Linked DNA regions of Drosophila melanogaster. The protein of the gene in region 1 purifies or fractionates together with the protein of each later gene. This does not show direct contact. Each region holds a gene or a part of one and is shown in the gene's direction. Other genes may lie near its edges.

What was found. The genes of interacting proteins can lie anywhere in the genome.
Region 2: the proteins of mnb (region 1) and wap purify together in Drosophila melanogaster (affinity purification with mass spectrometry; 3 studies listed by BioGRID, with this or other methods). This does not show direct contact.
Region 3: the proteins of mnb (region 1) and Reps purify together in Drosophila melanogaster (affinity purification with western blotting; one study listed by BioGRID). This does not show direct contact.

What each region holds. Positions count from the first base shown.
Region 1 is NC_004354.4:17,871,018-17,876,987, reverse strand, and holds the start of mnb (minibrain), read left to right. Parts: upstream 1-1,947; 5' UTR 1,948-2,108; coding exon 2,109-2,583; intron 2,584-3,587; coding exon 3,588-3,733; intron 3,734-4,234; coding exon 4,235-4,369; intron 4,370-5,970. UniProt on the Drosophila melanogaster protein: Role in the specific control of proper proliferation of optic lobe neuronal progeny.
Region 2 is NC_004354.4:22,450,560-22,458,047, reverse strand, and holds wap (wings apart), read left to right. Parts: upstream 1-2,625; 5' UTR 2,626-2,774; exon of another isoform or gene 2,775-2,988; 5' UTR 2,989-3,386; intron 3,387-3,461; 5' UTR 3,462-3,463; coding exon 3,464-3,654; intron 3,655-3,857; coding exon 3,858-4,317; intron 4,318-4,375; coding exon 4,376-4,557; intron 4,558-4,619; coding exon 4,620-4,818; 3' UTR 4,819-6,603; downstream 6,604-7,488. Other genes in the region: tilB (touch insensitive larva B), read right to left, coding at 6,621-6,738, 6,800-7,012, 7,185-7,488.
Region 3 is NT_033779.5:11,100,261-11,109,497, reverse strand, and holds Reps (RALBP1 associated Eps domain containing), read left to right. Parts: upstream 1-2,852; 5' UTR 2,853-3,284; coding exon 3,285-3,431; intron 3,432-3,486; coding exon 3,487-3,891; intron 3,892-3,973; coding exon 3,974-4,293; intron 4,294-4,361; coding exon 4,362-5,146; intron 5,147-5,217; coding exon 5,218-5,654; intron 5,655-6,088; coding exon 6,089-6,175; intron 6,176-6,328; coding exon 6,329-6,871; 3' UTR 6,872-8,535; downstream 8,536-9,237. Other genes in the region: l(2)gd1 (lethal (2) giant discs 1), read right to left, coding at 1-142, 201-632, 691-2,289, 2,377-2,433; Ge-1, read left to right, coding at 8,939-9,204.

The sequences.
Region 1 (5,970 bases):
TGGCAGTGCCATGTTCTGCAATAATTCCACGCAAATGGGGCATATCACCGATAATAATAATTAGTATCAGGATCAGGTGCTATTTTAAATAATGGCCAGATTTCGAACAGCTAATTTGGGCTGCCTTTCCCCACCATTTCCACCGCTTTTCCTGCTCAGGCGAGGAATGCAACAATGTCACTGCATTCATTCAGTAAATAATATGTCCAACTGTTTGCTTATCACTCAACCGTCACCGTCTGTATTTGTTCCAATCCGCACTGTTTTGAAAAACCCGTAAGTCTATGCGGGACTTCCCCATTATTTGCCAAATATGTCGAGACTTTAGTATCCGATTAGCTGGCGCCGCCATCTGTTCATAAAGTTGTCAAGTGGTGGGTAATAGTAGTATTACAGTCGCAGTCACGTCACGATGTGAGTCACCTGCTCCGGATGCAATTATCGATGGTGTGTGATTGTTGGTAGTGGCCCTATCCCCCCCCCCCCCCTCATTCCTCGCCCAAAATGCAAGTGGCCAAAAAGGTGGCGGGGAGCGAACGCAAAATGTCGTCAACTATTTTTATTTTCGGCCGAGAGACGCGACAGACAAACAACGAACATGAGAACTTTGGGGCAAAGATCCCACATTGCGAACGGAGGATCGGATCGGATCGGATCGGATGGGATCCCTATAAATAGAGGGACTGGTGGCTATGCTCCTGCGAATCTTTCGAGGGGCCCCGAACGCATTAATTATTCAACTCTTCCATCGATTGGCAAGCGTTCAATTTGTTTATTATAAAAGCAAAATATTTTTTAATTGCTTTGGCGAAATGGAAAACACAAATTAGCTTGGCGTGTAGACAGACATTTACATAACTCGAAAGAACACAAGTTTATAATTATTTCAAAATCGTTTGGCATTACTGGGCATTTTAGTTTCGAAAACGATTTCCTATTTTTATGGCCCACTCTGCCAAGTGGCAGCTCAACCAGTTATACAGTTTTGTAACGCACTGCATTATGTACACACACTTTTTGCCTGGGGTTAATTACATTTTATTTTAATTTCACATTTCGTTTGCTTTGTTTTGATTTCCTTGACTTGCCGACGACGCAAAAGCCGAAACAAAGAAATGCATACTTACATATGTATGTATGTATGTATGTATGTATATTTGTATCTTTGCGCGCACGAGACAAGTGCGAGCACTTTCCCACCCACAACCACCCAGCGTTCCCCCATTTACCCCACATGCATTCGCTACATGTCACTACGCTACATGTCATTATTGAAATGCCATTATCAACGAAAAGCGGAACTCCCTCTGTCAAAAAAAACACTTGTGATAGAAAACAAAAGGCCAGCCAGAAGTGAGCTTTTCACCAACAATAATGGGGGAGAATACCTAAGAAAACCGATTTATTCGTTTGTGGTTAATCACAAGCAAGTGCAAGTAACTCTGTGATCAATATGGAGATACTGAAAGGTATTTACCCAACACTGTTTCAATCAGTTGAGCTTCTTCAACACCAGAGATGTGCACTCCGAAACAAAGGTCGAAAGGTATGGATTTGACCAAGAGATATCACCAAGAGATTTTTCTATTTCCCATTTACTCAAATGCAATTGTGCAACACTGAACGAGTCTAGTGTAGTGTTAATATAGCGAATTCCGATGCCAGATAGCCGGGCATTCCCTACTTTAGCTTCATGATCATTACCACGCCGAGATCGTGATGATCGTTGCTGCAATCTCGCTATCGGCGCTCGGCTTCGTTCGTGTGTTCCGCATAAGTGCAGCAAAAAAGTGCAAAAACACCAAGTGAAATAAAAGAGCAGGGAGAAAACACGGTTCCGTATAAATAAAACAGACGACAACAACAACAACAACGACGAGTGGCAAACTTTGGGGACAGAACTGGGGGAACAAAAACCGAGGCAGTTTGCGCTGAATTTTCACACGAAACAGACCGCGCTTCATACAGCCAGATCCAAATGGATCTTAAATTACTTAAATAAACTATATAAAAATAAACGAAATAAGCATATCATTTTGATTGAAAAAAGGAAGCGGTTAGTGCAAAGTGCGTTCGCGATTCCGATTGCGATTCCGATTGCCAGTGATATGTCGACGGCCCTGGTTTATTGGCAGTCAATGAATGGCGGCGATCCGGTTGACAAGGCCACCGCGGATTGGGCGCCATTCGTGGTTGGTGCAGCAGCTGGTGGCAGCTTCAGTAGCAGCATCATCACCAGCAGCAGCAGCAGCTTGAACCACCATCCGCACAACGGCCACCACAATCACCATCATCCGCCTCATTACATCAATTATTTGGCGCAAATTGGCTGCCAGCATCGTGTCAGAAATTGGCCAACAAATGGCAATCAGGATCAGGCGGATGACGACGACGCTGGCCATCAGATCATCTCTAAATTCCTGCCCAAAAGTGCCTGGGACACGGTGCTGTTGGATGTGAAGCGGGATGTAGATGAAGATGGAGATAGAGATAGAGATCGGGTCGATGGCAATGTGCTGATGGTTCAGGGATCGTCATCATCATCATCGAGAATGAAGGCGGAACGGGCACTCTATTATACTAGTAAGCCCATTGGATGAAACAGAGAAGTTGGCCTAGAAAAATTTGTTGCATGTCAGTTTAACTGACCGACAACTTTTTTTTTTGCGTTTGCACAATTAGTCAACGAATAGAAAGGAAAAGTATCTTTGCTCTCGCCACATGTTTTTTTGGAAATTAGAAATGGAGTGTTGGAATATCAAATGTCGCGGATTATCATCGAAAACACAGCTGCTGCCACTTACAGGTTTTACCCTGTTGCTTGATTTTTTCATTCTTGTTTATAACGTTGGGTCTATTTTTGTTGCACAAGCCATCAGCGAACGAAGAGCGAAGAGCAACAAAACAAAAAGAGTGAGCATGTGAAATGGTCATAGGAACGTGGGGAAATAGAATCTACAAACGGCAGAATTATGTATCTGCGCCTGCATATTGTGTAATAATTTCAGTTCAGTTCCGTCTGGTTCTAAAATTAAGGTAGAGCTTCTTTTTTACTTACCTCTGCTGGCCTGCCAATGCACAGGAAAAAAATATTGCTAGCAAAAGTAGATTCTTCGGAAAGGAAGAGAAATGTTCCAATTCGTTTTTTTTTATATGGCAGCATCATGTGCTTACTATCTTTAACTCACTAGTATGACCACCAATTCAACAACTAATTTTAGAACGAATTTTGCATCTTGAGTTAAAAAAAGAATGCATGACTCTGGGCTGGCTCTATATCAGATCTTAAATGGGAATTGGCAGTGTTTTTCCTGCGGTGTGTGTCCACACTTTTCGCCCTACCCTTTGCTTTTATTATCGTTTTGGCAACTCTTGACGCTGACGTAGTCAGGTGTGCAAGAAAACAGGTGCATTTTGCAGAGGAGCGGTGTCCGAGCGATCCGGTCAATGAACCAGCACAGAACGGCGCACAACGAAGGCGGCAAGCAAATACATCGCAATAATTATATATACACACATATATATTTGTATAATTCCCGCCGATATCTGATAGTATCTCTGATCTCTTCCTTTCTCTTACGCTCTAGTGTCCGCTTATGGGTCCAGCGGCGGCAGCGTCGACGCAGCGCAGGGCAGCGGAAGCGGGGGCGGAAGACAGCGCCACGCCCCACTCTACGGGCGATTCGTCGACGCAGAGGATCTGCCTGCCACGCACCGGGATGTCATGCACCATGTGAGTATTATCAACTAGCATTATCCTTATCTTCAATCCAAAACATGCATTTACACACAAAGGACATGCAGAAGTTGTGTTTCTTTCTTTTAGAAATTGTAGAACATTTTTTGTTTAGAAAAAATCCACAAATATTTCAACGGAGCCGTGTAAAAGATAACTTTACTTCGTTGAATATGAACTTACTTTTTCCCATGCTCTACTTAAATTAAAACATGCAATTAGAAAGGTTTATGGCGCATTTGAGAAAGCCGCGCCCTCGGAAGAACAAAGAATGGTATTTTTCAGGACTGGTTTTGCCTTTCTCAATGCGGCCATTAAGACTGCGTATTTATGTTAATAACGAAGCTTAGCAAGTACATTAATAATGTTGTTTTAAGAAATTAAAGAGATTGTGTTCAAAATAAAAATGATTTGATCTGAGCACGATCTGAGCCAAAGCTAGCTGGGCATCACTTTATTGAACAGTTTGAGTAATACGTTCTCCATCTCATTCCACAGCACTCTAGTCCCTCGTCTTCGTCGGAGGTGCGCGCCATGCAGGCCCGGATTCCCAACCACTTTCGGGAGCCCGCCTCGGGACCTTTGCGCAAGCTGAGTGTCGATCTGATAAAGACCTACAAGCACATCAACGAGGTGAGTGTGGCCCATAACTGGCGTTTAATCTGGTTAATCTACAAGCAAAACATATGAGAACCAATTGATAATTGGATATTTGATCATAAAATCCTATGTTTATCGTGGCAATATTGAGTTTGGATCATGTTTACCAGGTTCTCTTGTCGTTACAATGCACATAACTTTTCTGTTTTCATTTGCATTAGTAAATAGTGATTCTATTGATATTTTAGCTTGGCAAGATTCCATATCATTTCAAAAAGTATATTCTATCTAGTTTATGTAACTGTCTACCTTATCAATTACCATTGCGATGATGTTGTTCTTGTAGTCTGCAAAACTACGAAGGAACCTTGGCATCCATCCATCCCGATTTCTTTCTTCTTTTTTTTTTATTTACGCTTATATGTCGATCGGAATTTCGTCGGGGGCTTTTCTCGTCTTGTGGCTTTCTTTTTTCGGCTGTCTGACTATCTGCTGACAGCGGATATTTGTGGCGTTGAGCTGGGCTAAAGATACGTTTGTCCTTGACCCGTTCGTGGGGTCAATTCCCCCAACAGCGTCACCGTTCCCCCGCAGCCAGCCATTTGCAGTTGGCTTCGATTGACGTCGTCTGCCGCCTCGGTTGACAACAGCCGAAAAAAAATAAATAAATAAAAGGAGCATAAATGCTACACGCAACTGTCTCGGTTCTCCTGCCAAGTTCCCAAATTTCTCAACGAGAACGTCCCCCGAATAACTAATACTTGTTTCTTGATGGCCTCTCATGGAAACTGTCAAATGACGCTATGACAAAATGCCGCCGACCTAAATCGGTGATTATGCGCCTTGAGTGGGTGGGGCGAATGTCGCATGCCTCATAAAAATGTTAATATTTCACGCAGTTTGAGTTCTTACGAGTTGCACGCAACTTTTCCCAATAAAAAAAAAACCTTCACTTTCTGGCATTAAGGATAGCTACTATATTCTATATTTTCTTTGACAAAGCGTACTTAATTGTAATTAATTTAAACCGGCATCTTAAAATGTAGCTTATTCTCAACGGAAGTCAAACATATTGAAATCGGTAAATGAGAATGCTGCAGTTGGGCGATTTGACAGCTAGCGATGTTGCAAGTATTTGAATTTGACAGGTGCTCTCGAGCAGTTGGAGTGCTTTTGACAGAAGTTACAGTTACATTTGCAGTTGGCAGCTTGTGCCGTTGGAGATGCCGTAATATTGCAAATGCCTTTTCGCTGCCGCTTTGTATGCTACAGTTTTCGATTTCGAGAGAGTGGGGCTCTCTTCCTCTGACTCTGTCTCCTGTATCCTCTCGCAACGTGGTGCTATCTCACTTGCACCACCGCCAACTTGCCGCGTTAGCAACAACTTTTTTCACCAAGCTGCAGCCTTTTTTCCCCCGTGAAAGAGAAGCCGTGGTGGGGAAAAAGAGAGTACGAAAGAGTGAGTCGAAAAAGGGAGAGAGGATTTTCTCTTTTTTTTTTTTAGCTTGGCGTCGCCCTCTTTCGGCATTTTTTTTTTTATTTGCCGGTCTTGGTTCTCATTTTCGCGATTTCCCCATCTTCCCACTTTGTGTTTACATTTGTCGTTGATGAAGTGGAAGTAACGGGATTACTTG
Region 2 (7,488 bases), 4.6 Mb from region 1:
GCTGCTGCCGTAGCCCGACGAGTTGGAGCCGCCGGACGAGGTGGGCAGCCACTTGGACAGACTGCTGCCGCGGTCGTAGCTGCTCGATATGCGGGAGTAACCGTTCGTGGCGGCGCCTCCGCTGGTCCGATCCACCGCACCGCTTCCGGTGATGCTGATGTGGTGACTGCCGCTGGTGGAGTTGCTGCTGGTGGTGCTGCCGCTGGAGGTGCCGACCGCCGATGTACCGTAGAGACTGCCGCTGCCCGCCGCTGACGTTGACGATCTACGCGGCGCAATTACACGCATATTAATGGCAGCAGCGGCAGTGATCAAGCCCCGGGTTCCGGATGAAGTCGAGAGTGTCCTTGGTCTGCTGGCAGCACGTGGTATTGCTGAGCGGATGATTCCTGTTTTGTTTCCGGTCTTGCTTCGCTTTCTCTGTTTTTCGTGGGCTATACGGCGGAATTCAGTTTCATTAATGGAAATCACAGCGTCAACGTGTCCATGTACCCACCTGCGTCACGTTATTTACATTATCATCGCATTATATCCCTAGGATTAGGTTAGTTTTAAACTTAATGGCTGCATATGTGCTACATCTAAGACCCGTTCTTGTTGCTGCTAAAGTTGTAGGCGAAACTGAAAAGAATGGAATTTTAGAAGGCCCTATTTATCAAATTAATTCGAATTCAAAACCTCATACTAATCGGACCATAATATTCTAACTTCTTTATCAAAAATATACCCAAAAGATTGGAAAATGCCCAGTGTAAATGATCTAATGAGGGAACATCTTTTAATCAAAACCACATTTTTATGACGGTACTTTTAGTAGTGCAAACAATTCTAAATTGTCAAGACCTTGTCCGTTTACATTTGATTCACTTATTGGAGAAATGAAGGCTTGCAGGCGCAAGGTTATCTTGAATTCTGCATAAGATAATGCGAAACCCTTCAAGCGGAACTCCTCGTCTTTCTTCCCCTTCCCACGATTGATTTTTCACAAGCGCAAAAAACACCCACGCACATCTCGGGAATTTGTGGCCTTCGATTTGTCCCTGATGAACAGTTAGGCGGAGAGTGGAAAACCGATCGACACTTGTTTACAATCGCAAAATAGTAATAAATAGAGAAAAGCCGTTTTCAAGTTTGCCATAACAACAACTTCAGTGTGACGCTGGCTGGCTGAACTGGGTAGGGGCGGTGTGGGACGCGGACGGCTGTCCTTATGCGGTAACACTTAAAATGAAGTTACGTTCGTGTGTGTGCCGCCAGGCTGTCTACGCTCCCATTCGAGAAAACCGTTGCTTTTACATACATACATGCACAAGTGTAAGGCTCTGCGGGTGGTGTAGTGCAGGGGGATGGGAGAAGCGGGTGGTAGGCCTTAACTAACATAAGATGGCCACACTTTCACGAATCGATCTTTCGTTCATAAAATGCTACAACTACACTACAGCCCATTCACACACATTCACTTAAAAAAATTGAATTATCCAAGCTCACACAATCGCACGCGAGTACCCACAGGTGTAGCTGAACTTTTTCAACGGTTACCACGATTAGCCGCTTTCTTTAGACACAAAACTCATACATTCTTTGCACGTCAAAATCGAAATAATTGTGATAAAAGCAAAAACAATATATAAAACGAAACGAAATGAGATTCTATTTTTAAAAGGTGCACTCACACACGCGCGTACGTTTGGCAGTGAAATGTGTGAGGGAGAGGGGGCGAGCCAGGGTAGTAGTAAAACAGTGCCGAGATTGTGCGCGCGAGCGATGTAGCACTATTGGCTACACGGTCACACACACACACACAGGCGCCAGGCAGCGTACGAATTACGCAAAGTGAAATATCTTTCTCAAAATGGAAAGTGGAAAAGTGACGACGACGGCTATTAGGAATTTTTCATACATCCACGGAACACAAAAAATGTACAAAGGCAAATGCGTATATAAAGTGTATAAATTCATACTAAGATAGAAAACAAATGGGCGAGGGGATGGGTGGCGAAGGTGAAAATTTGACCGCAAAACGAACATCACGAGGCGAACGAGGTCGCGCTGCCGAAAGTCCCGTCTCTTAATGATATCCCACAAATTTTAACGCCAGCCAAGCGACATCATCGTTTTGCACCGCAAAAGGGCCTTTTTCCGGTCGAATTAAAGCAATTTTTTTTTGCACAACACAGAACTCACTTTTTAATCCTATTTTTTTTGCTAGTGTGGCCGCACGCCGAAACGAAGTCACCGTCACTAGATTTTGAAGATAGGTTAACTGTTCTTCGATAACTATCGAAGAACTATGCCTGATGCATGTATGGTTGGTGTACTTGCTAACAGATGAGCAGAGGCCTTCTTAATGTTCCATTTACACAGAATTCCATCATATGGGATTTGAAAAATATGCTTCAAACTTAATAGTTTTTGCACAAAACGCCAATCGAATTATATTTCCAGTTCCAGGGAAAAGATTTCTGGGTGGAAATAAACACACAACTTTCAATTCTTAATTAGACTAAAGTCAAGCCTAGAATATTATATATTACAGTTCAATATAATTTAATACAGAATTTTGTTTTAAATAAATAGTATTTTGTTTATCTGGTATATAACAATGATTTTGCACAAGGTATTTCTTATAGCTATCTGCGCGGTCACACTGTTTTTGTGTGAAAATTCTGTCGAAAAGAATGTATTAAAAGTTCTTTGAATACTAATTCCGTGTAATTCCGACCGTGCTGTTTCAGAAAACTGTGGTTGGATTGGAAACTTAACCAAATTATAAGGTAAAACCGGGGCAGCTTGCCCATCGAAGGACCGCCACAAACGAATTTTCGCGTCGCATTACGTTTTAGTGTTGCCACCTTATACGGAGTGCCGGGCACAATTCCACTTGCTGGCCAAACGGATGCGTTGCGGTCGCGATGTGCACGCCGTTGAATTAATTCCTTCGCCCTGTTGATTGAGTACAGTTCGACTTCTCCGATCGGTGTCCTCCAGACCTAAATTTCGCCGGAATAACGACGGCAAACGGACGGACGGACTCTAGTCGGAAAACGGGCGAGCTGGCAATACTGCCAGTGCACAAAATGATGTGAATCTCGGAAAAGAGGAAAGCTACAGGAAAAGCCAAGGAAAAGCAAGCCGGTAAAGTGTGCAAATGCGAGTGGCAAGCAAAGACCTTTGTTTCCCATTCCATGAAGTTTTCTTGAGTTGTCCGCTGCTGTGAGTGGTCATTATCAGCCATCATCATCATTGTCGTCATCATCACCAAAGGAGCTCGTCGTCATTAGGCCGGCCACCAGCTAAACGGCATTGAGAAAACTCAGCAGCACCTTGTCATCCAAGTCTTGATCTTCGTCTTGGTCTGGATATCCGTATCCAATCACACAGTTCAGGTGGGTTCTTGATCCAGACTCCGAATTCGAATACGAGTCCTAGATTCTCATGCTGATCCTTTTCCATATCTACAGTTATGTCCTCGACCGCCGGAAAGCGCAAGGAGATCTACAAATATCTCGCGCCATGGCCACTGTACTCCATGAACTGGAGTGTAAGGCCGGACAAGCGATTCCGGCTCGCACTGGGCAGCTTCATCGAGGAGTACAACAACAAGGTACAGATCATCAGCCTGGACGAGGACACCAGCGAATTTAGTGCTAAGAGGTATACCGAATATTTGTTTAGCTGATCCCTTCTACTTTCTGTTTTCATTTTATATTTCGTATATTATCTTTAAAAAATAATATAAAATGATAAGCAGTTTTGATATTATTGTAATCATTTTAAATATGAATAGTTATTTGGTTATACGAACCATTTTTCCGAAATCCCCTTCCTCACTGACAGATTATTTCTTCTTCAAATAGCACCTTTGATCATCCATATCCGACAACCAAGATCATGTGGATCCCGGACTCCAAGGGTGTCTATCCGGATCTGTTGGCCACCAGTGGCGACTACTTGCGGGTGTGGCGTGCCGGGGAACCGGACACGCGGCTCGAGTGCGTACTGAATAACAACAAGAACAGCGACTTTTGCGCTCCCCTCACTTCGTTTGATTGGAACGAGGTGGATCCCAATCTGGTGGGAACCTCATCGATAGACACAACCTGCACTATCTGGGGACTGGAGACCGGACAGCCGCACGCTCGCGTCTATGTGGCAGGACACGTGAAGACGCAATTGATTGCCCATGACAAGGAAGTATACGACATTGCTTTTTCGCGGGCCGGCGGCGGTCGGGACATGTTTGCCTCGGTGGGAGCGGACGGGTCGGTGCGCATGTTTGATCTGCGGCACTTGGAGCACTCGACCATTATATATGAGGTAAGTAGAACGCGCGAAAACACAAAAACGGATGACTACATAACGATAAATCCAATAGGATCCTGCTCATACGGCGCTGCTGCGCTTGGCCTGGAACAAACAGGACCCGAACTACTTAGCCACCGTTGCCATGGACTCGTGCGAAGTAATAATTTTAGATGTTCGTGTTCCTTGTACACCCGTTGCAAGACTGAGCAATCACAGAGCGTGCGTCAACGGTATTGCGTGGGCGCCGCATAGGTGAGACTATAAGATTCCTTAAACCTAAAATGTGCCTAAACAATTTGTATTTTGGTTTGCAGTTCCTGTCACATCTGCACTGCCGGTGATGATCACCAAGCACTGATCTGGGATATACAACAAATGCCACGTGCAATCGAGGATCCAATTTTAGCCTATACAGCTGCCGAGGGCGAAGTCAATCAGATTCAGTGGGGTGCCACACAGCCCGACTGGATAGCCATTTGCTATAACAAAGCGTGCGAGATCCTGCGGGTCTAAGTAATTTTTTTTGGTCTGGTCCTTGCTGAAGCACCTGACTGCAATTGCTGAACAACGCACAGTCAACAAAGAAGCAAGTCAGAAAAACACACAACACCCACAAATAAACATACATTTGCTGTTGGTAACTTGGAAGCGGAAAGCAGTGAGCTTAAGTTGGATTAGTTCTGTCAACACGCGTCCGCAGTTTGTTTAATTTTACTGTCTGTCGAGAGAGAGAAAATGTGAAAGTGACGGATATAGAGGCAGAGAAATGGAAAGAGAAAGGGCTTAAAAGAAAGATATGAGTTTGAGGGAAAGAGAAGAGGACGAAGCACTTATTCTAGAATTCTTAGCTGAGTTGATCTAACAAGTATGTAATTATATAAGGTATAACCAAAATATGTTTTATAATTGTAGTTTATTTCACACTTGACAAATCCCGACACTCACACCCCCGAAAACTCCAATCAATTAGAGCCGCTTAATCTTTTTTATTTCGTTTTTATACGAACCCAAATGGAATGCAGAAGAAAAAGAAATCATATTTATTATAACACAATGTCCTACCTCGTTTTTTCAAACATGAATGCTGTTAATCGAGTTTTCGAGTCTGGTCAAAACAGCAACAACCACAAAAATACACAGAGAACAAAAAATGAGAGGTAAAAAAGTAGCCGGCAACAACGCTTTTTCGAAATATTTTTACTTTGTTCGATTTTTGTAACAGATCCAAAAAACGGAAAAACGACAAAAACAAGAGATAAAGAAAAACAAAAGCAAAACCATGGACTTAAGCAATTGCAAAACAAACATAATATGAAATGAATTAAAGAAATAAGCGAAATACTTACATAGATTAAAGATTAAAAACCAAACCAGGAAACTGATGACGAACTGCACACAACACAGCTAGAATACAATACTATTTAAAGATACAAACTAAAAGATAAAACAAATACCGAAATATATGAGCGAGAGAGAATACAAGATTGTTGCTATATCCATTTAACAAACGAGCGAAAATAAGCAAACAAACTATGATCATTTCAGATAAGACACGACCCTCCATCAATAATCTCAAATCTTAACCACATCCCATACTTTCCACAGGACAAAGCGACTTTTTCAGATAAAATCGAATACATTTTTTTTATGTATCTTGTAATTTATAGCAATTTCACAACTTATATATAAATATGTATACAGAAAGCGATAGCAGTAATAATAATCCCGATGATCGTGTATTGTAAATACAGCATGAAAGGCATATTTTAAACGAAAACCAACTTAGGCCCTGATTTTGTATAGCCATTTAAGAGGCCACTTCACGGGAATTTATATCCTCATATCCGAATACTTTTTCGTTTGCTGCAGAAGAGTAAGAAACTGAAATCAAGTCTATGGAATTTGGAATTGGATATATTTTATACGCTCGTAGCCACTAGGCGAAGACATTTTCATTAATTTGGCAAACCACGGTTTCCGTAAAAAAAATAATCGAAAAAAAACCAAGTTAGAATATAATTTTTAATTTAATCTTTATTTTCGTGTGCCCTGTTTTGCATTATCCGACTTACGTTACATTTATATATGAAATGTATATGTACACAAACACACACACACACACACACACACACTCAAGCGCATATATATATGAGCATCCGATCGGGCTAAAGTATTTACTAGAAAGCTAATGATTGATCGATGGAATGGATGGATCACAAAAACCAAACAAAACAAAAGATCACTGAGGAGTTTGAGAAAACAAACCAAATCAGACAAATATTTAAATAAACCATTTTTAAATAATGAACACAGTCTCAAATTAAATCGGGAAGATCTTCGGGTGCACAAATGTTGCTGATGTCCACTACTCCTCCGTGAAACGCTTCCTCCGGTTTCCCATCTTTTTTTCCTGCATCAAAAGGGGCGGCAGGGCTACATGAAAAGGTAGCTAGGATTTGTGGTTCATGATATACAATGAACTGGATGAACTTACCTTTTAGTCGGGCTTTTCTTGGCTATCAGCAGCTCGTTAACTTTTAGCTTCTTAAGATTGACCACAAGGTGACCTGTAATCTGGGAACGCTGCACAGTGGACTCATCCGGCTTGACCTCCTCGCTGTACGCGATCTGGAAGATCTTTTTTTTGACGGTGACTCTAGTGTATGTGGTCTGCACATCGACGTCAATTAGAGAGGTATCCAGGTGTCTGGGCGAAGGAATATACATATGCAATATTAATTAAGAATTTTGAAGTGTATGTATATGATTGGGGCGTAGAAACGATCAAGCAATACCAATATCGATATACATATGTAATATGTTGGTGATAACTTGTAAGATATGTATAAGTTTGGTTAAGACATCTTAGCCTAGCTTACCTGTACACCTCCAGTTGGAGCAAGTAATGGTCGGCCTCATCCCGAAACTTAAAGGGCAGTTTGGCCTGGTTCAGATTGTAGGGTCTGCCACAAGGAGCGAAGAGGTTGCGCTGTGGCTTCAGAGGGTCCAGTGGGGACTTGGTTTCGTGCCGCTCCCGTCCCAATCGGTGTTGCCGAGCGATCTCTGTGCGAATCTCCGGGCAGTGCTCGCTCTTCGCCTGCCAAAAGGCCTTTATGCGCTCTTCTTCGTCCTCTATGCCGGCACAATGTTCAGCCAGAGCGGACTGCTGCTTCGCCACCCGGA
Region 3 (9,237 bases), on another chromosome or scaffold:
ATATTTCAAACTTGACGCCATGCCGCTTAAAGATTCTCTGGAACTGACGATTGGTCCGCTGGATGTCAACCTTGAAGCGTTCATCGTAGTCAGGACTGCTGGTGTCTCTGATAACATTGGTTTTAGTCTTGAAAGATTCATCCTTAAAACGAAAACATATAAATAATTGGTGAAACTTTAAATGTTGGTAATTAGCTTACATTGAGCAGGGGAAACTCTACGCGCACATAAGTATCCACGTCCTTGGGATTGGCCACATTGTAGCTGATTCCCCGGACCACAACAATTTCAAGCTCACTGTCTGTGAGATCTGTGTTGCAATGCACAATGTTGAAGCTACGCTTTTCATAGTGAAACTTTGGCAGTGGTTCATTCTTTCGTTTCGAGTATCGCACCAAATCCAAATCCTTTTGCACAGTTAAGGCTAAATTTTCAAACCGATTCATGCCTGCTACATCTCCCATAGCTTTGTGATGATCTCGCGTATTTTTGCACATCATCAGTTGTTTTGCCAGCTGCTCCTCCATGCGAACACCAATTTCACAGATATCATCTGTCGGATCGCATTCCTCAGCAGATACAATGGCAAAGGAGGCTTCTAGATTATCCCTTTGTGAAGGCGGGACGGGAAGCTGAAAAAAAAAAATATATAGTTAGCCATACAAGAAGAAGATGTAATGCAAAACTTACAGTGCTGAGGTCCACTGGCAATCCACTACTCGCTGCATTAAGAAGGGAATCGAATCCCTTGAAGATCTTGAGGTACTCCTTCGCCTGATCTATTTCTCCCGCTTTTTTGGCCTCTATAGCAGCTAGCTTAAACTCCTTTTGGCGCTCGAGGAGCAGTTTCATTTGTTGCTCGGCAATATTATTCTTCTGCTGATTGCCAGACGTGCGTGTTGTTAACTCTTTGGGCTTAGGAGGTGAAGGTGCTTTTCGAGGAGCTGTAGGTGTCGTCGCACTGGAACTGGAGGGTGTTCCTCCTGCGGAAGTACTTGCTGTTGGCGGTGGAGATGTAGGCGAAGTGGGCAGCGACGGTGTCGGCGCGACAGGAGCAGCATCAGCCGTAGGCAGCGGTCCAAAACCTGGTGGCACAGGCAGCTCATCGTAAGGCACTGGTTTGCCTGCCTTGTACAACTTTATGGCATCTTCGTATTGCTTCACAATCCTTCCAAAGCGTCTTGCTTTTCCGCTATTGTTTTCTGCCTTGGCTGCCGCTTCTACAGATTGATATTTCTCTAAACGTTGCTGCAGAGCCTCCAACATATTTGTTGCAGCTGCTAGAACAGGAGCAGGAGCAACAGGTGTGGGTTCTGGGGCAGCAGTAGGTTCTGCGACAGCTTCTGCGGCTGCTTCTTCTTGCATTTTTTTAAGGAATTCAAGAAACTCAGCTGGTGGAGGGGGCATGTCACTCAAATCAACTTCCTGTCCGTCTTCACACATTTTTATAACTACGTCAAATTGCTTGACCACTTTGAGAAACTGAAGGGCAGTAGATATGTCACCACTGCGCTTAGATTGCAGTGCAGCAGCTTTGTAGTCCGTCTGGCGGCTGCGCATTTGCGTCACAAGAGGATTAGGGGGAGATGTGGGAGCCACAGATGTAGTGGGCTCCACGGGGGTGCCGGGGGTTGGTGGATCTGGAGCTGCACGACTAGGCACAGGCGGAGGGGAAGCAGGTGTGGAAGGAGCTGGTGACTCCTCTGCAGGCACTGGAGGAGCCTGCCCGCCAATTGGCTTTACACTGACTTCAGGTGGAATGTCATCCACGTTAATGGACTTGCCAGCCGCTGCCTGCCTGTGCAGATCTTTCAGAGTCTTAAGGCCTCTTCCAAATCGCCTTGCTTTGCCAGAATCGCCGGCAGTCTTGGCATTGGCCTCGGCCTGCTTGTACATTTCCAGGCGCTGTTTGATAATGCTTAATGTGTCCACAGTCGTCGTGGGCAGAAAGGTCTGGACGGGTTCCTCAGAGGCAGCTGGCGGTTGTGCGACAGGCTCCTCTTCCTCTGCCTCCTCTAGACCACCGATTCCGCTCAGCTCGCCAAGAAGATCCGGATCGCTTTCCAAATTGTCATCATCATCATCGTCGCTGACATCACGCAAGCTGTCGGCTATCATTTTGTCCAAATCACTGGCGGGTAACAGCTTTGCTTTGGGCTTGGGCTTTGGCTTGGCTCCTTCTCCGCCGGTTATGGCCGCAAGCTCTGCCTCCAAATCACTGTCACCCCCATCGTCCTCACCATATCCAGCGCTGGGATCAAAATCATCTGGGATTTCCGTAAGACCGAACTAAACACAAAAAACAAAAAAGACAGTCCAAACGATGAGTCATAATTAATAAATAGACGGATCTAGACTGTTTGTTTTTCCTCTCACCTGCGATAAATCGTGTTGCCTTCTTTTCGCTGGCTCTGGCTTCTTTCTGGAGAACATCCTTGATTGCACAGAGGCTGTTTATTAACTAAAATAAGTCTATAAAGACTTTCAAATCCTTTAAATTTTTGCGTCGCAACAGTTCAGCCGCAGACAACAATAACAGAGTGGGGATCACTGTGGTGCAACGAAAGGTGACGCAGGAAAGTCTTTGCGAATTGGTGACGTCAGTGGCACAGGGCTACAGGAAATTTGTTGACGGTTAAAAAAATATCGTTAAAAATAATGAAGAAATGATTTTTTCTTCATTCAGCAACATTAAATTTTATTATAGTTTAATCCATAATGAAATATAAATGAACATGGTAAGCCACCTTACAAAACATCAATCCTGCGGAACTAAACTTTTGCCGGTAACTAGGGCTGCGAAACGCTAACAGGTACAGGGCTGCCGCGCCAGCTGTCTAATCGAATCGATACCGCAACCTATCGATATCGAGAGCCAGCGCACACACAGTGCAAAAGAGTTTGCGAAAAAAAACCTGGACAAAAAGCCAAATTGATTGTGCGCCGAGCAGCTTGAGGCACTAGGTGTACCCTCGTCGACCAGTGCCGTGAATCCTCTAACCATCGTGGTTGTGGTGGCACCAAGAAGTTAGCGAAACCATCGTCCCCGCAGTTCTCCCAGCTTCCACCTCCTCCAACTCCGTCTTGGGGGCCAAAGGCAGAAAATCATCAGACTTCTGGTTGTGAGCAGCGCGGGGCAGCGGGGTCGGCACTGGCCTGCTGGGTTAAACGTGGAAGTAAACAAACGAATTGGATTCCGGGTCCAGGACGGACGAACGGGGCGTGGCTCGTTAACCAGCGGCTTGGTAAACGAAACCAGAGACGGCAACAAGTAGGCGACAGGCATGGACGTGTCCCTCACTGAGCCGGAGACGCGCTTCTACAGTGAGTTGTTCCAATGCTGCGACGTGGAGAAGACAGGCAAGGTGCCCATGCTTAAGGCCACCGAGCTCTTTCGCTCGGCGGACATCGCCAATGAGACCGTGATTGAGGTAGGTCCAATTTGTGTGATCGTGAGTGATTAATTATCTGGGTCTGGGCTTATAGATCACCGGTCTGGCGGGGATACCCTCCACGGCGCTACACATCTCGCGGACACAGTTCTACTCATGCCTGAAGCTAATCGCTGCTCATCAGGCGGCCATGCCCCTGCGCCAGGAGCTGATCTTGGCCACGTTTCCGCTTCCATTACCGCACTTTAGCTGGAAGGAGGCGGTTACAGCTCCGGTGGCTGTCGAAAATGGATTGACTGCCTTGCCACCGCCACCACCCACAGATCGCAGAAATTCACTGCGTCGTAACTCGCAGCAAGAGCAGCTGCAAGACACCTCTGATGTGCCCAGCACCGACTCCGAGGTTGAGCAAAACGAATCAGTGGACGATGCGACAGGCCATGGACGAGGTACGGATGGCTGTGGGGTCGTCAGCAGCAGCAGCCGCGAAAATGTCGGGGTTTGTACTTCTATCTTATCTTGTGACATTTGTAAATAAGCTTACCATTGACCGATCCCCGTCCATGCCTTATCTCTTTTAGCGACGACGAGGAGGCGGTACTGGTGGTGGATCGCCAGAAGCCTGGAGCACTAACAGTGACAGCCCCACGCCCACCAACAGCGTGGCTGAGCGGCCTTGGGCGCAGGACACCCTCTGGCAGGGTTTGCTGGGCGACGAGCATCGCCAGCTGCTAGGCACGGAGGAAGAGTCTTCCGATCGCCACAGCAGCGACGACGATGACAACGAGAGCGAATTGGTGACCATTTACCAGATAACCCCGGAACAGCGCGAGTACTATAATAAGCAGTTCAGGACGGTGCAAAGGGATCCGCATGGTCTGCTTTCGGGCCAAGCAGCAAGGTAAGTTGGCTTTAGGAACGTTTATAACTTTATTCTTCTTATTATTTTCTTATTCCTTTTTTTATTAGAAACTTTTTTGAAAAGAGCCGCATTCCTGTGGAGGAGCTACGTCACATTTGGCAGTTGTGTGACGTTACCCGCGATGGAGCGCTAAGTCTGTCTGAGTTTACGGCCGCCATGCATTTGGTGGTTCTACGGCGCAACAACATTCCCTTGCCCACAAGTCTGCCCCACTGTTTGCATCCCAACGTGCTACAAGCAGCTGCGTCCGGCAGTGGACAGGGGGTGACATCCTCGTCATCGGCGGCGCTGCCTCAGGAGCCACCTGAGGCTGATCTCCTGCACCTAAATGATGACGATGAGGACGACCATACGGATAATACAATCATAGCAGGCAATCTCAGCGGCAGCAGTACGACCAGCAAACCGCGTCCCAATGTGCCCAGCGACAAGAACATCATGAATCTGAGCAGCATATCCACGTCCTCGCAGGCTAGCAACAGTTCCAAACGTGAGGCAACACCACAGAATTCTTTGGGCAAGAACCGAAGCATCTCAAACTCGCCGAATGTGGAAAAACCTGTGTCGGGAACTGTTTCCTCTACGGCAAGCGCTGTAGACTCGACCAACGTCTCCAGTCAGTGGACAAAGTTTAGCGAATCTCCAACAACAAGTGCGGTTTCGGTACAGTCAACCACTGGGGCAGCACCTGTTGTAGCAGCCGGAGCAGCCGCTTCTGGCGCATCTAGTCCCGGGCTCAAGCCAGTCCTGTTTGATATGAAGCGCTCGGCCCAAGACGTGGTATCCAATCCGCAGATTCTGCACCCAGTGCCGCTAAGAGTGACGCCCATTGGTGAGTAGAAGAACTAAAATAGTATTCTATAAATTGAATATAAATATAATTATTCCTTATCTCATCTGTAGGCACCGCCATCGCTTCCTCAGCTGAGTCATCTAACGAAAACGAGAGCGCGGTGGCTCAGCGCGAGGATAGTCCCAAGGCCATCTCTTCGACTACTGTCAATAATCAGTCATCTGCTGTTGTACCCGGAATATCGGGAGTCGCTGGCTCCTCCCACCGCGATAGCAGCGATCTGCGTGCCATCCAACGGCCTCAAGCCAAAAAGCTGCCGGCCAAGAACAGTGCATTGCCACCGCCACCGCAACGCGAGCCCAGTATCGGATCCACTGGGCCAAGTGAGTCGCAGGAACCGCAGGCTGCCTACGTGGCATCGTCTTTGGCGTCGAAGAAGGAGCCACCGCCTCTGCCACCGCCAAGGCCACATCGTCATGCACGGAGCAGCAGTCTGGACTTAAACAAGTTTAAAATAGGCGCAACGGGCGGTGCCCAACAGGCGGAGGTATGTTATGTCCTATGGACCAACAATTTCCAATTTTATCTGAGAATTTCAATCTGTGTCGTTTTATATGCCTTGGTCATTAAATAAAGCCTTGTAGGGGATAGTATTTCGTAGATCCGCACTTATCCCCTGCAATGCTATAACAAACTAAGGAACTTCCAAAACATTCCGTGTGTTCCGTCTCTGTTTTCAATATTTGTGGTGTACTGTGCAAATGAAGGCGAATACAGTTTTGCTACAGATTCAATTTATTGAAATGAAAATACAGTGTCTTTTAAGAGTCCACAATTGTTAAGCATTTGCAAAGGAAACCGTAAACTTCGGGAAACCGAATTTGCTTATATTGTTTTTGTGTTTTTTGTTTGCTTGATTTTGCCTAACTACCTACCTATAACCTGTGAAATGTATATAAATATGGAACCCCTTTTGTTAAGATCACCGCGCAGGCCAGCTTCGATATGCAAACCTCAACGGGGTTTGCCGATTTCACGCACTTTGCCGACGAAGGCGCCGCGAACGTCGTAAGTCCAATCCTAAATGTATGCAACTCGTAAAGCATTCCACTACAATTGGCCGTAGCTCCACTAGTGTCATGTGTCCAAATTCAGTAGCTTATATAAATAAACGCATCCATTTGTATGATTGTCTTACTAATTGGTACTCTGACCTTATAGGTGGACGAGCAGCAGCTACACTCCTTGCCGCCGGCAGCACCACCGCCACAGGCAGCAGTGGTGCCGCCCACAAGAATCACTCTTCAGCAGGCACAGCAGCGCGTTTCTGCCTTCGAGGTTTACCGAAAGCCGCAAACGCCACGTGGATCGCAATCGCCGCCCCAGCAGCCGCCACCGCCGGCTCCAGCTGTTGGTTTGACCACCCAAACTGGTCAGCTGCCCAGTGCTGAGAGCTTTGAGAAGCGAGTAACCGCCATCAGTGACTCGCTACGTCACGTGTCCTTCAAACAGGGTCAGGCCAATACCACGGAAGTACTGCAACGGCTGCGGGAGCAGAACAACTCACTGCTCCACCTTTGCAACGATTTAAGTGACGAACTTCTGAGCGTCCAGACGCGCAAGGAGGAGATGCGTCTCAAGCTGGAGGGACTTAATGCCAGTGATAGTACAGGGCGAACGAGCTCCTCGATTTGCGCACCGGTGACAGCAAACGTGACCGGTGGATCCTCTGGTTCGGCAGGAGCTGCTTATACCAACGTTTAAGCAGCGAAAATGATCATGTGAATGAGGGTGAATCGATTTATTTTTGGGCGATATGTGACTTTCGTTTGCCTGTGTGTGTATTTTTGCGACCATTTTAAGTGTCTCGAACCAAAATTTAACATTCCTTATAATTTGTTATACTTTCTTTAAGCTATTAGTATATTTCCCTCTTTTCTGCACATTAAACTGCATTAGATACATATTGGGCGTAAGATTTCAGAAAAACTACGAATTAGTTTCCCTTAAATTTGAATACTAATTGAAATTACCAAAAACGGAGAAAAAATTGATAACGACCAAGTTTAATATGAAATCCTCGGATTTAAGGCAAATAGCTGAAATGAATTCATGCTATTAGTATTAATTCATTTGTTCATGCACTGAAAGAAATCGATTCACCTTTATGTTAAACACTTATTTTGTTGTTTCTGTATGTTGCAAGCACAATTTACGATTCGAGGTGCTTACACAACGATAAGACTGGGCAAATCTTTGAGTAGGCTCGTAAAATTTCGTTGTGAAAATATTTACACAGTCTGCAGATAAATATTCGCCAGATCTGAAAGTTCCAACAGCTTCTATGTAACTACCATTTGTTTACTCAAGAGCTTGCTCAGTCTTAAGCGGGTAGAAACACCAGCGATGGATCTGATAGCTCGTCCGTTTATGCATTGAAGTTGCTAATTTAATTTGTAGGCTAGTTAAATCTCAAGAACACAAAACAAATCATGCGAGAACAACAACAATAATGCCGCCTCTATAGATATTTATGCAGATCGATTTATATATGTATGTATATGTATATTTAGAGATATATGTATATGCGCTTCTCCTAATTGTTACGAGTAAATGACACACAATTCTTTCGCTTGACAGCCACTCCGCACTCCGTATCTCACCCTCACCCTAGTGATTAATGAAACTGCCACAAAGTGGTCCAATCCCAGGTGTAATATTTCCTGCTGCGAAGACATTTTACTTCTCCATTTGCTATTTATTACTGTTTTGTGTATGCCTCGAAAATGTCCCTTCTATTCATTCCGGCAATGAAAATTAAAAACCACAAAAAAAACATTAACTCAAAAATAAGAACTACAAAAAACGAACCTAAAAAGAAGCCAGGCTTAATGTTTAAGTATTAGAAAAGTGAAAGGTAAAAAATCGATAAAGAAATTCATTTCCTTGAAAGCTTAGCTTAGGTTTTTCAAAAAATATATACATCTTAATATATTTTCTATCTGTATAGTGTACACGATAAAACACAATAACACTTGATATTATCTACAATTACCAAAATTTCTTTCTACCGAAACAGGAGACAAATTTGATTTACTCGGACCACTGATTCTGTACGTATATGCTAACTTTGAATTTATCAGACATACCGGCATATATCACATCTTTTGCATATTTAAACCATTAGATATATGAGTTTTTCTTCAACTTGTTAAACATTTTCAATGACCTACCACCACACACAATCACACAAGAGAAACGAAACAAAATGTAATATGAAAAGAAAAAGTGATATTGAAACACTATGTAAACATATTATTACGTCGCTGCGTAATCAATGTGTATTGTTTTGATGGATATACATCTCTATGAATAAAGATAAATGTATTAAGTTGATGTTAAAATGCAATAAAACGAAAGTGCAACCGAAACGTGTTTTCTTGATTTCGAAAGAACGTTTCGCTGAGCGTCCATCCCTGGCATCCGCGTCGCCGATAACAGACGCTGTCCATCGATTGCCCTAGCACACGCCGCTACACACCTCTATGGTTTTGCGGCAAAAAAAAAAAAGTTTTTTGCGAAAATTTGTGAGTTTACGAGAAGCAGCCAACTAAATGGTTTAGTTTCGCTAAGTAGACGATCAATTGCTGGAGGCCAGTTTTACCAAGTACCGGCTGGGTGCATTTAGCAGGAGTAAAGGAGACCATTCGACTGCTGCGTATTGATAGGGCAGGTTGGTGTGCGAGTCGTTGCTGTTCATCAACTGGCGAAATTAATAATGTGTACCCCCATGCCGTATCATCCTCCCACCTGCAGTCAGCCGATGTGTCAATGTTAATCGCGCTCTTCGCGCTTGCACACTTGCCAATCTTTCGTAAGACGCCTTTGTCAGCCTCCTCCTCCCCGCCGCCGTCTGTCCACCGGTCGCCAAGGTGTGGCAAAGCAAGTACCGCGTACCATCCACCGCCAGCAGACGCCTGCATCAGCATTACTGCTTCAGCCATTGACGCAGCATCCGGGATGAGCAACAGCGCCGAACAGGACAAGCCGATTGCCGCCAACGGCAATGCGGCAGAGCCCCAGGAAATAGAAGTCATGTGCGTATCACCGGTTATCCAATAGACGGCCCT